Linked DNA regions of Arabidopsis thaliana. The protein of the gene in region 1 interacts with the protein of each later gene in a pairwise test. Each region holds a gene or a part of one and is shown in the gene's direction. Other genes may lie near its edges.

Region 1 (6,646 bases):
AAAAAGGACGAAACCTTTTGAGAAGAACTATGAAAACCACCTCAGTCGTTTATTCCTTGCAGAGTTATGCACAAGGTTAACGAAAGGTCTCACCTTTGTTGGACTAATGTCTCCAGGGTCTGCTTGTTGTTCCCAAACACAGGATTATGCTCATCATTTTCATGCAATCCCATTCGCTTCAAATGATGCCAAAGGGTTTCTAAGGATGTTGAGAAACATATAGATGCAAGAAAAAAGACGTCAACAAACAAATTCTTAAATCAAGTGTGTGACTATCATATACTCTTGATTTCACTCTAAAAACTAATTCATCATAGAGACTTTAGGATCTGAAACAAATCTACATAATGTACTTTTGACTTCCACTCTACAACTTTGCTCTCTAACTATGATTCCCAGAACTGTGAGAACACTACATCGAAACCAAAAAAGATCGTAAGAGATCGAATTAATGTACTTTTGACTTCCACTCTACAACTTTGCTATCTAACTACAACTTTAGGTTCTTAAACAAATCTATATAATGTACTTTTGACTTCCACTTTACAACTTTGCTCTCTAACTATGATTCCCAGAACTATGAGAACACTACACCGAAACCAAAAAAGATCGTACGAGATCGAATTAATGTACTTTTGACTTCCACTCTACAACTTTAGGTTCTTAAACAAATCTATATTATGTACTTGTGACTACCACTCTACAACTTTGCTCTCTAACTATGATTCCCAGAATTGTGAGAACACTACACCGAAACCAAAAAAGATCGTAAGAGATCGAATTAATGTACTTTTGACTTCTACTCTACAACTTTGCTCTCTAACTACAACTTTAGGTTCTTAAACAAATCTCTATAATGTACTTTTGACTTCCACTCTACCACTTTGCATAGAACATTACATCGAAACCATAAAAAAGATCGTCGTAAGAGACCGAGTAACAGCATACCTTCAGGGATTTTACCACCTGCAAGCTGCACAATGGCAAGAACCACAAACGTAAAGCCAGTCACAGGACTCGTGGTTTCATCCACAACATGTTTCTTAAACACTTCCAACGGCAATTCACTAACAAGCACATACGATTTCGAGTCAACAGAACCTAAAAATTGAACGAAAACAAACATTTAGCTATATCGCCGAGACGCGGTGCAGCCGCTTCTTAATAAACAAATGCCAAAATCTTACTCTGTGACTGAGGAAGCCTAGATTGACCAGTAGAAGAAGAACGAGCACGTTGAAGTTCTTTCAAATCATAACCAAAGACATTAGAGAGCTTCTTCTTCGCTTCGTTAATCACGTGTGTAGCGAGATTTCGTTGACGATAGTTCTTAGTAACAATCTGAGTCAAATCTTCTCTTTTAATTGGAGTTCCTGAGCTTTGGTGAAACTTGAACAGTATGAATCTAATCACCTCTGAAACTAACTTATCCGTTTCCTGCATTCAAATCAAACTCAAAAATCAATCTCAATACCAAATCATATTCGGAAATCAAAATTCCGATAAATTCCCAAAATTGAATCTGTTACCTCTTTGGATATATCGAATTGAGAGAGAGAATCTTCTTCGTCGGCCATTCTGAAATCAAATTCGCGTCAAATTAAACACATGAATCGATGAATTTCAATGTTTTAGAGAGATTTTTACCTGGAAGAAATTGGGAAGGAGAGACGATTAAAAGCTTCGTAAACCCTAATTTCATGGTATTATCAATTGGCGGGAGAAACGAGACAGTCTCTGGTTCATTGAGACGGTTTTAAGAGTGGGTACAAGTGTTATTCGACTCCGTATTTCGGTTTAGATTCGGTTTGGTTTTTGTGTTATAGATTTTTTGGTTTATATAAATAATGGTATCAAACTAAAATAGATAATTTGGTTGAATTTTGATTTTGATTTTGTTAAATCCTTATTTCAACGAAATTTTGATTTAAGATCTGACTATTATTCTTCAGTTTGGTTTAAATTTTGTTCGGTTTTTTATATATATTCCATTTATTCTTTGGAGATTAATGACTTTTTTTTGTCAACAATTAATGGTTTTTTTGTTCCACGAAAAATAAATGTTCTATTTTTTTAATGCATTCATTATTATTTTAGAAATTGTAAATTCCAAAAAAAAATATGTGAAAATATTTAAATATTATGAATTGTTATTAGTTAGTGTAGAAAATAATATATGCATAATTAAACATTAATAACTTTTTTAACAGACATATGTGATTTTTTTTTTAAAAAAAATCATTGTATAAGGTACAAAGGAAAATTATATTAAAAACAATTCATTGAAAGTGTGGTTCCGTTTTTGGATTGAATAATTCGGTTCAGATCAGATCGGTTTATCCGGATTGAACCCCTAGTTATTATTATAACCAATGAAAAAACAAAGAAGCATGGGGCACACCAAACATCTAAATCCAACGGTTGAGATTCGTTGTTATCACTATTTGAGGCTCTCCACTATCTAGAGACTTAATCTCAGCCGTTGATTTGCTTCTCCTGTCTTAAACCAAACCGCCAAAATTCTTTTTATATCGTGACAGCAGTTTTTGATCAGAACAAAAGTCTCAATTCGAGAGAGAAGAGAGAAAGGAGAAGCTATGGAGAACGAGAGAGCGAAGCAAGTGTACTTGGCGAAACTCAACGAGCAAGCTGAGAGATACGATGGTAAACAAAAGACCGTACTTGTTTCTTTTATGTTTGAAATTTCTAAGTAATCTCTTAAAACTCTGTTAGATCTGTCCTTTCATACTTTTGTCTGAAAATGTATTGACTGTAAAAAATGGTTACTTAGAAATCAAGTAAATAAAGAGTTTGTGAACGACTTTGGATTATTGGAATCTCTATATAGTTTTTCTTTGTTTCCTTGCGTAAAATCGGAGATTATTCGATTATTATTTACGCGATGAAAAAGGTTTAAAATGTAAATTTCTTGATATACCTCATAGTTTGGTAACTAAAAAAATGGGATTGTTGTACTTTATGATATAAGTCAAATTCAAAAAATTTACTTTTGTTTTATTTGGAGTTGATTTGATGAGTAATATGCTTTATTGTGTTGTTCTTGTAAATAGAGATGGTTGAAGCAATGAAGAAAGTTGCAGCTCTTGATGTAGAGCTCACCATTGAAGAGAGGAATCTTTTATCTGTTGGTTACAAAAATGTGATTGGTGCTAGGAGAGCATCGTGGAGGATCCTTTCTTCGATCGAGCAGAAAGAAGAATCGAAAGGAAACGAACAAAATGCCAAGAGGATTAAGGATTACAGGACAAAAGTTGAAGAAGAACTCTCCAAGATTTGTTACGATATTTTGGCTGTCATCGATAAGCATCTTGTCCCATTCGCAACTTCGGGAGAATCCACCGTCTTCTACTACAAAATGTTAGTCTCATTCTTGAATTAAAAACTTAAAATCAAAACAAGAAAGTATATGACACACACTTGAATTGGTTTTTGATTATTTTGTTTGTTGTTGTTAGGAAAGGAGATTATTTCAGATACTTGGCTGAATTTAAGTCCGGTGCTGATCGCGAGGAAGCTGCGGACCTATCACTCAAGGCGTATGAAGTATGTTTGTCATATTTTCTCTTGATCAATTAGCTGAATAGCTAGGAAAGAAAGCTGATATTTCTGTTTAAATATAGGCTGCAACGAGTTCTGCTAGCACGGAATTGTCTACAACACATCCAATAAGACTCGGCTTGGCTCTCAACTTTTCTGTCTTCTACTACGAGATCTTGAATTCTCCGGAAAGGTATTGTCCGTTAAGAGCAAGTAACCTATCAGGCTAAACTACATCCAAGTTATAAACATGTTTTGAAAATTTCTTGAATCCCTTAGAGCATGTCATTTGGCAAAGCGAGCGTTTGATGAAGCAATCGCTGAGCTTGACAGTCTTAACGAAGATTCATACAAGGACAGCACACTTATCATGCAACTTCTCAGAGATAACCTCACTTTATGGACCTCTGATCTAGAGGAAGGAGGTAAGTAATTAAACAATACACGAGACACAACATCTCTTTAAAACTTTATAATAGTACTTTGTATTAAATGAATGCTTTATTATATACTTTTTCTTTTGTCTTGCAGGTGAACAATCTAAAGGCCATAATCAACAAGATGAGGTAAACAAAATCTAAAAGCAAAGCTTTACACTTTCCTAATATCTTTCTTCTTTTTTCATGAAATGTTATGCATGACATAACCTTTTGTAGAACTAATGAAGTGGAGAACTTAGTTACGGAGCCATACATTCATTTGGCACCGAGCGGTTTCAACTTCTCTTCTTGCGAACGATTGCTTTAAACCATCATTTGTTACCCTCTTTTTCTTTTGGATTTATGTTTTTTTTTTTTTAATCGAAATGAAAACTTATGTGTCGTCCTATTGTCTTGACCGATTGCTTTAAACCGGCACGAGTGCGTAAATAGTAATATAACAAAAGAAAAGAAAAGAAATATCCTAACCGGGGAGGAGACGGGACGTGAGATAACACCTTTGGTTTCATGAAACGAGGGCATGAAGAAGTTTGTTTCTAGAAATTTAACTTACATACATACCATCCAAAAATAAGTTGCATACATTCAATATTGACGAAGATACTGTTACTGGTTTGTATGAAACCAGGGCATAAGAAATTCTAACATCTCTCAGGAGTGTGTGCATCCCTCTACAATGGAGGAAACACATTTTTAGTCTGTTCCTAGAAACTTACACACATACCGTCCAAAAAATGAAGAGTCTCCGCTAGGTGCTTGAATATAGTTCAGGAAAAGCCTAAATTGCAACATAATCTAAATTTATAGTTTTAGTCATTTTGCTTACATAAGTTTTTAATATAAAAAAAAAAACTAGTTAACAACCCGCATTATGTGCGAAATAAAAGGATTATTAATTAATTTTAGTTTATTGCTAATATTGAAGTTGTTCTATATATGTTTATCAAATTTTCTTACATATATATTAATATTTATGTTTATCATGATTTATAATATATGTCTTGATATATTAATCGATACACAAAATATAAGGTGATCCATTTTGTATAGGTTTGTATCTTTTAATTGCATATTTTATTTGTATTGTTGTTTTAATTAATTGAGTAAAATAAAAACATAAATTAATTGAAAAAATAATCATAAGTACAACAAATTACAAAATTTATAAATATTCTAATAAATGTTGGGTGTTTAATTAAATGGATTGAGGTTTGCTTTTCTGTCCATGGTCGTCCCATGTACTGCAGGAGGTTTGTTAGTCAGACGAGGCCAAGAAACGCCAATGCCTAAGTTTGACTGAAACCCTTTTGTTGTATCAACGAAAGGGTTTCTTGAATAACTTTCGTTGTTGTTTTTAATTTCGTGAATAAAGGGAGTGAACTAGCCTCTCATGTGGTATGTAATCACCTATTTTATCTCATTTCAAAGATATTTCAATGTTGTTGACAAAAACTATGTTGAAGTAATCTGTTTTGTTTTAAGTGGTTGAAATAAAAATTAAATGGATTGAGGAGCTATCTGAGAATGACACGTTAACATGATATTTTTATTAATCATACATAGAGATAAGGTTATTTTTTAAAAGTACTTCCCATTAATATATAGGGGATTGCATAACAAATACAAATAGTTACTAGATATATAGTTTGTAAATAATAATTGTTTTAATTAATTAAAATTACTATTTACACATTATGTGCGGAACAAAAGGATTATTAACATAATTGTGTTATAGGAATTTGAGACGAGACAAATTAATCTGACCTATTACATAACAAATACAAATAACATAATTAGATCAAATTTTGTTTATACTTTTTTCCATTTTTGCTAAAATTTTGCCTTTTCTTTTCTTATGTTTTCAGTTTTTTTTTTTGTTATTCGAGAAAGTTAAATATCTATATATACAATTAAGCTAACCACTTACATTAAATTTAATACTAGAGAAAAGTTTGGCGGCTAATTTTCAAATATCTAAATTTTTTATGAAACAAAAATTATCAACCTTATTATTTTCGACATTTTATTTTAATTAGAAAAAAACTTGAAATGTGGATACTAGTGCCTATCCTAGGAGCACTCGTCATTCTCTCTATATCCCCATGCACATTCACCTACTACTACATTTGGAAACGAAAACCACATAATGGAAGAAACACAAATCATGAAACAGGAGAGAATATGTCCATATTAAGCGTTGATGGCAAATTCAAATACCAAGATATCATCGAATCCACAAACGAATTCGATCCATGGCAATCTAAGCTTTGGCTCTTACCTTCTTAAGTCGTAATACATCGTAGAGTTGTTATCTCCACATCAGAAATCCGGTTTAGCTAGAGAAAGAGAACATAAAGAAACAAATCTATGAGGTTGTAAAATCTCGAAGTACCTTGAGGCTTTTAAAGGTTGATTAGTGTTTTGCCTCGGTTTGCGTAGCTAAAAACCGCTTGATTAATTTCTTAATGTTCTTAGTACTTGTTGATAATAAGAAAAACAACTCAAGGTTTGTTATTACTTTAAGAGATAGATAAGAAACAAAGTATTCTGTTATGGTTTCTGACCTCCACATACACTATGAAAATTACATCTTCTTTGATAAAATCATCTTCCTTAAGAAAATTCAATGCTAGTAAAATAGATTATCC
Region 2 (7,415 bases), on another chromosome or scaffold:
GGCCCAATTAATTAATTAGTACCGCAACTTCGCAATTCACATGGGCCGGTGGTTCAACATTAGGCCCCATGCCACGCCATATTCATCATTCATTTAATCATATGAGTTGGAGAACTCGAGTCAAATAGAGAGACTAAAATGGCTGGAATCTGGCACCAAGTTAGTCTCCTCAAGTTGTCATTAGATCTTATAAAATGATAACATTATGTTTATATCTGTTTCTTCTATTCTCTTACGGATATTACAAAGAATATTTCCCCATAGGCAAATCATGTTGCTACTTTAAAAATCTGCAATAAAAACTTCACTGTTTACCAAACATTTTGGATGAAAAAACTATCTTTGAAGTTTATACTAACCCTCCGATTCACCTATTTTTCATGTACAGAAAAGAATGCTAATGTACATTCGTAGTCCAAATAACCCCAATTCTATACAGTTCCGAGTAAAATGAATGATGATAAAGGCATTGTTCTTGCTTGTTATCCACTATGTAAATCTCGGATCTGGATTCTTCAAATTGAAAACAAAGAATGGCCTTAGAATTGTTGAATGAAGTTGCTCGTGACAAAAGCTATCTTCCTGCAAAAGTGAGTTGGAAACTGCCAGGCAAAAATGATAAAAGCTGAGAGCAGTGCTGCAAGTAGTAATGTAGATTGACAAACACATGCAATTTACTGAGTCCAAGGATATACCAAAGCAACAAGTGTTCTTTCTATGTCTATAAAAAGGTCAAGTGTGAAAGTTAACCTAACCAAAAGCAAGGTATAGTATAGTACCGTCCACAATCATTAGATGTTCTATCAACAGAGACTAGAATGAAGTGCTTCTAAGGATCTGGATAGAGGAGACTTCTTTCGAGAGGCTTCTGCAGCAGATGATTGGGATCCTTTGTAAATGTCTCCAGCTGAATGGTGCTTAATCACCTACAAAAGGTTGAAAACCCACTTGCTATGTCTGTGTAAGTTTTAGAGGAGTACTGAGACAAGAAAAGCAGCATACTATGATGTAATATCAATACTATGTGGCCTTTGTTTGTTAGTGAGAAACAAGTTTCACCTAACCTAGAGTGGCAAAGAGCTAAAAAGCATGGTTGGGTGATCTAGATAGTTCAATCCAATTCTCACTATATTGCATACAGTTTCAAAAGAAAGGTCCGAAAAGAAGCATCTGGAAACCCAATTGGTAAAACCATAGACAAACCAAGTATAAAAACCTCAACTACAATGAGTACACAAACAACTTAAGAGAAGAATAGGTAGAAATAAAAAGACCTGTGTTGCATTGGGCAAAGTGATATTGCTTAGGCCGCCATCTAACAGAGGAGTGTAGGAGGCAGGTTCGTCAATAGAATCTTCCAAGATTTCGTCAGAACGTGAACGTTGCTTAGCTATAGCAGGAGCCTGTAAGAAGCTATTTCGTAATTCTGGATCACGTGAACGTTGCCTAGCTAAAAGAGGAGGTTCTAAGAAGCTATTCCGTAAATCTGAATCTGATTGACGGGGAAATGGAGAGTCTATAATAGAAGCTCCCAGCCTATAGATCTGAAACCATAACAGAGAGGACGATAGCCTCACAACGAACCCAGCAATTTCCATAGCCAGGGTGAGTTTCACAGAGAAGATGTAAAAGACTTGATACATATCAGATGAAATGTTCCTGCATTAACAATTAAATCTTTTGTCAGTTATAGGCAGCAGATGAATACTGGCTCAACAGAATCTAAACACGACATAGCAAAGATTTGCAAAAAAAAAGGTTTAAAGATCAATCAGTTCAAAAAGATGATGAGCCAATCAAGAGAAATTCAGGACAGTTTACAATATGTGATGCAATGAAAATTAAACAAGACAGAGCAAACTCTTAAACCAAATATTTGATCATGATCACAAGCACGGCTGTTCCAAGGATAGTGACATACCAAATCTCTTTGGAGAAGAGAATGAACCATGAGACATCAAGAAGAATGGCGCAGAAAAGAAGAACCGCATAGGTTCTGCCAAGACTTTGGCTATTACTCTCGATTGCTACTAACCCAAATAACGCAATCGCCAAATTTATCAGCACGACTCCATTGTACAATGCCCCTAGTGAACCGATCAACGCGCACCCTATCTGAAACAAATGATTCATCAATATGAGTTTCTTGCACTTCTAACCACAATTAAAAGAATAACAAACAAATATCGACAGAGAAATCGTAGAACCCTAATCCCAAACAGATACGAACAATTCACGAGAAAAAACGTGAAATCGGAGGAAATGAAACAACTACAAAGCGATTACGGATTTACCTGAGCATAGATAAGAATCAAAACGACAGATTGGAGCCTAACGTAGTCGCGAAGCCAATTATGTATTCGATTTCGTAACGAAACACAAAGCATCGTAAAATCTCAACCTCGCAGCTCTCGTTACTTGTTACTTCAATGGACTTTCATAATACAAAATGGCTCGACGATTCTGATGCTAAATTGCAATTTTCCGGCGAACGAAATCGGTGAATCAAGAGAGAACGACGATTTGAGAATTTTCGTGAGGGAGAAAGTAAAGAGTGTCTTTGGCGGGATCGCGTTGCAGAAGAGGCAACAAAATAAAAAAATGAGGAAACGAAATATTCCGTTCAATCGTGACGAAGTTATTATAAGATTTAAGGAGGTTTCCGTTTCTTGTCCAGAGTGACGGACGCTTAACGGAGTCACGAAATTTTGGGCCGTATTGGAAAATCTTTAAAAGCCTAATCAAGCCCAAAACTTCAGACCGGTTAATATCTGAACATAACCGAAACCGGTTATCTCGGTTAGCGATTTTCGTTTCAAAAACGACGCCGTTAATTCCTTACATGTCGACTACTCATATGTGTCGCCCAGATTTGAAGATCGGAGATATGAATCTCTTCTTTCTCTGGATTTGAAAGTTCGATAAAAATCTACTGATACATCGACTTCTGGAAGCGATCTCGATCTCTCTAGGTTTGTGATTATCTTTGAATTTGCTGATTGTTTCGTTAGGCGTGAGGAATTGTTCGATTGATTTTTTTTCCTTTTGTCTCCGGTAGAATTGTTTCGACGACGAAGATGAAGAAGATTCAAATTGGTGCGGTGGCGCTATTGGTGTTTCTATCTGTGGCCTCTCTCTTTGAAATCGGATTGGCTTCTCCGAACACAGTTCCTGCTTTCCTCTGGTCTCCGCATCTCCAGTTATGCATCTTGTTTTCTCTATAATTCTCAATTTGATTGATGGAAATGTGTAAAAAGCCTGGGACTTGTGATATCTGATGTGAGTTAGCTTAGATTACTGGGTTGATTGGTTTATGTGATTCTGAAAATCAGGTCTGCTAATGGTGAATTGGATGAGGCTGTAAATTATCAGGTCATGTCTGCAAAGGATCTAGTTGGTTCTGTTTTCACTCAAGGAGGTTGGTCAAACTTTCTGGTATGGTTTCTTCTTCATGATCTTATGATTTCAATTCTACAACTCACTGGATGTCAAATGATTTTTCTTATTGTCATTACTGTCTCCTTTGTTTAGTGCTCAGAGAAGAAGCTTGAGCAACCTGTTGATGTTGCACTTGTGTTCATAGGCAGAGAGGTAATTGAATGATGTAGTATTGTTGTTTTAACATTAGCATAAATGACCTTGTGGATCTTTGGTTTCTTGTTGTGATATTGTAAAGAAACTGATGTTTTAATATTGCGGGAAATTAATCGTCTTTGCTCTGTATCTTCTGTGTTATGCTGAGAATTCTAATATTCACGTTCTCTTCCGCCTGCAGTTACTGTCTTCTGATGTTTCTTCAAAAAGGAACTCAGATCCTGCCCTTGTTAACACATTGAATGTAAGTGCAAATTTTCTTTTCTTCAACAAGAAATTTCGAAATTGCATCCGTAACACAGATCTCTGACATAGTTGTTTGATATAAAGTTTACAATACTCTAACATCCAAGTCTTTGTTTCAACAGAATCTATTTACAGCTTCCAACTTCTCATTGGCATTCCCATATATTGCTGCTCCAGAGGAAGAAAGGATGGAGAATTTGTTACTTTCAGGGCTTAAAGAAGCTTGTCCCAACAATGTAGGAGTCAGCAATATCGTGTTCTCAGATTCGTGCTTTGTTGAGGATGGAACAATTCAGAAACTTTCAGACTTGCAGTCTTTCAAAGTAATACTCATTGCTCTTAAGTTTTTATTTTCCCTAATCCCATGCCTTCCCAGTGTTATCACCCCCTTAACTTCACTTTCTAATACTCATTAATAATTGACAGGATCATTTGCTTGCTAGAAGAGAAACAAGGAAAGAAGGAGAAACTGACTTGGTTGTGCTCTGTTCCGAGGGTTCTGAATCGAATAGTCAAGCTGGACAGTCACATTCAGAGCGTAAGTGGAAAGATCATTACAAAATAATACTAACAATTAGATATCATTTGAGAACTAGGAAATTAAGCAATTCTTTGACCTATTCTGCAGGTGAAAGCTTCTTGGAACTTGTTAGTTCTGTAGAACAATCCGGCAGTAAATATACAGCTCTTTATGTTTCTGATCCTTATTGGTACACATCTTACAAAACTCTCCAAAGGTTTCTAGCTGAAACTGCTAAAGGAAACAGTACTCCTGAAATTGCTACTGGCTGTGATGAACTCTGCAAATTTAAGTCATCACTTTTGGAGGGCATACTAGTGGTAATTACTCTTTTTACTCGTGTTTTTTTGGTATTCATCGTTCTCAAGAAAGATTCATAAACATCATAGAATGGACAAGTTTAATGAGCATCTTGGTCATATCTAGCTGGAAGATAATTTAATTCAATGTGTTAAAATTTCGTAAAAGCCTTTGATTATGTCTCGTCCTTTTCTTTTTCTTTTTGCAGGGAATCGTTTTTCTTCTCATCTTGATCAGTGGACTTTGCTGTATGGCGGGTATCGATACACCGACTAGATTCGAGACTCCTCAAGATTCTTAAGCTGTTGACCTTAAGAGCCATCCCCACCTTTTGCTTTGCTTTTGACGAGTCTTTTCTTGTGCATAGTGCGCATTGTGGAAGGTACTTCAATGTCGATTTGTTACATTATTACTTCAAAACAAAATCTGCATATGCCATAAAATCCCCTTGTATCATTTATTCATCTTGTTTGTGAGTCTTTCTTAAACGTCATAAATTAATAATGGAGAACGAGTAAAAAACCAGAGATACATACACTGGAGAACGGATTACATTCTTTTTCAGAATTTTTTTTGTTTCTTTTTCTTAGATTATATTCCGGAGTTATCGTGCTCATAGTATCGTATTCATATCAATTTGGGGATTCGGACATAGATTTTCTGGAAGAAAAAAACTCAGGACAATAATGTCGGTAGAGTCAGAGTGGTAGGACATGTGTGTGTACCATCACTTGTATAGATAGATAGAAAGATAGATATAGATGATAGTTTTGTGAACAATTAAGAAAATAGTAAGAATACATATATAAGTTTTGTCATGCAACATGCAATTCTAATCCAAATTTAATGTTTGCCTCGGCATGTTTAGTCATTATTAAGTAATATCGATTGAGCAATTAGCAGTTTATAATTTATCTAGATAGACCTTTTGTTTTGACTATTTCGTTGATTTGTTCCATGATTCAATACTTAGCAAAACATCTTCATATGTTGGGGTCCTTATGGTCCCTGCATGGACCTATTGACAAAGTCATAAGATCAATCTTTCAGATTCTTTGATTGACCTCTCTCTCTCCATAAAGAAGCGTATAAAGAATCAAAATGACCGAAAACGATGGTTCTATTCATCTTTTCCCCACTATACATACTCCTACATTTATTCTAACATAACACTATTCGTATCCCTGTTTTTTTCAAAGTTTATACTATAACAAATACATGACTGTATTTGTCTAATTACGAAGAAGTTTCAAAAGCATCATTTATGAACAATGTTTATCTTTTTTTTTCTTACACAAACATTTATAAAAAATCATGTCACCATGACATGTAGCTTAGTTTTATACTAGCGATATTTTTGTGTCATCGTCCGAATTAGAATTTGCATATAATGCATATTATCGATAGAATTTATACGACTTTGTTTTCTATACTGCCACATAATTGAAATTTAAAGATTAGAAATATTACGTATAGGTTTTTTATTGAAAAAAATATTTTCAGTTTCGCACAAAAATATATGTAAAAAACAAATAGAGGGAAGCACATGAGACATAGGGGTTTGAGCCAAAAGAGCAGTGAAAATCCCATCGATCTGCCACTCCACCAACTGACATCACATTGTACCCATTTTCTTCTTCTTTTCCTCAACTATCCATTTTTCTTGTTTAGACAGACACCCCCGCAAATATTTATTACCTGAACTATAACAACAACCAAATTTTGAAATATAAAGAACAATGTTGAACTAACAAATTTGCTTCATCTTTTATTTGCTTTAGCTTTCATACGTAAAATCTCTTGTGGCGTTCACTTCAAATTTTATAAAAAAAAAAAAAAAATTATCTTCTGTTTAACAACATATGACATCTTAAATTGATATTTTAATAATAATGAAAAACTATAAAAATGTACGGCCACGCAAAAGTGACCTACTCGAGCAGGTCCTTTTTTGATCTTTTCGATAACTTTGAGATTCCAAGTGCTGATTTCTGTGAATTTTTGTATATATATACACACATATTTTTGTCAAAGAAACAATATATATATATATATATATATATATGTATATAACTGACGGTCTCTATTTACCGATTACTTGTTTATAAATTAACTTATACGGAGTATAAAATATAGATGTTTATTTAATAGTGCCCTTTCGAGTACCTGTCGGGATAACTAGCTAGGGTTACACGTAAATGTTGAGATTCTTTCTTCTTTTAAAAATGTTTACGAGAGTCCCTTTTTCTCTCTTTCTACACACATTTATTTCTCTCGTGAGTTATTTCTTAGTAAGTCCTAAAATTAGAAACTTATAGTTCCTATCAACTTACCAAAACCAGGTCGATTTTGTGCAAGTGCGTCTTGTTTCTCAAACCACGTCCCTCGTCTTAAATTTTTATTGCATATGCTTGTCTTTGCTCAAACAGAATCTATTTACCTAGGTCGTTAACCAAAACCTTTTTGAGCTTGTTAATTAGAAACTTGAAATTTTCAAATATGTTAATATTAAGGTTCTTTGATGATTTATTAATTTAGAGAGCATTTAAATATAGGAGATTTTGTTTAAACGTTTTATCAAATTTCACATTTTTGGTCAAAGGAAAAGAAGGTTAAACACAATTCAAGAAAACAATAAGATGACAATTTTCGTTATAGACAGGAGCAATTTATGTGTCTATGTGAAGATGTATGTGTATATATGTATATGAATGAGTAGATATGTATATGGCCCCATATCTCTTAATGGCATCTG

The links. Proteins that work in one complex are often made in the same cells at the same time.
Region 2: the proteins of GRF11 (region 1) and AT3G13410 interact in a protein complementation assay, tested with the Arabidopsis thaliana proteins (one large-scale study listed by BioGRID).

Annotation. Positions count from the first base shown.
Region 1 is NC_003070.9:12,741,555-12,748,200, reverse strand, and holds GRF11 (general regulatory factor 11), read left to right. Parts: upstream 1-2,452; 5' UTR 2,453-2,597; coding exon 2,598-2,664; intron 2,665-3,071; coding exon 3,072-3,378; intron 3,379-3,476; coding exon 3,477-3,564; intron 3,565-3,641; coding exon 3,642-3,751; intron 3,752-3,837; coding exon 3,838-3,983; intron 3,984-4,089; coding exon 4,090-4,139; 3' UTR 4,140-4,214; coding exon of another isoform or gene 4,215-4,220; 3' UTR 4,221-4,479; downstream 4,480-6,646. Other genes in the region: AT1G34770 (melanoma-associated antigen G1-like protein), read right to left, coding at 94-199, 949-1,101, 1,188-1,437, 1,530-1,561, 1,648-1,702. UniProt on the Arabidopsis thaliana protein: Is associated with a DNA binding complex that binds to the G box, a well-characterized cis-acting DNA regulatory element found in plant genes.
Region 2 is NC_003074.8:4,359,695-4,367,109, reverse strand, and holds AT3G13410 (2-C-methyl-D-erythritol 4-phosphate cytidylyltransferase), read left to right. Parts: upstream 1-2,793; 5' UTR 2,794-2,972; intron 2,973-3,058; 5' UTR 3,059-3,077; coding exon 3,078-3,199; intron 3,200-3,332; coding exon 3,333-3,435; intron 3,436-3,531; coding exon 3,532-3,591; intron 3,592-3,775; coding exon 3,776-3,838; intron 3,839-3,962; coding exon 3,963-4,163; intron 4,164-4,266; coding exon 4,267-4,378; intron 4,379-4,468; coding exon 4,469-4,680; intron 4,681-4,868; coding exon 4,869-4,961; 3' UTR 4,962-5,475; downstream 5,476-7,415. Other genes in the region: AT3G13420 (uncharacterized protein), read right to left, coding at 804-926, 1,275-1,659, 1,922-2,115, 2,295-2,387.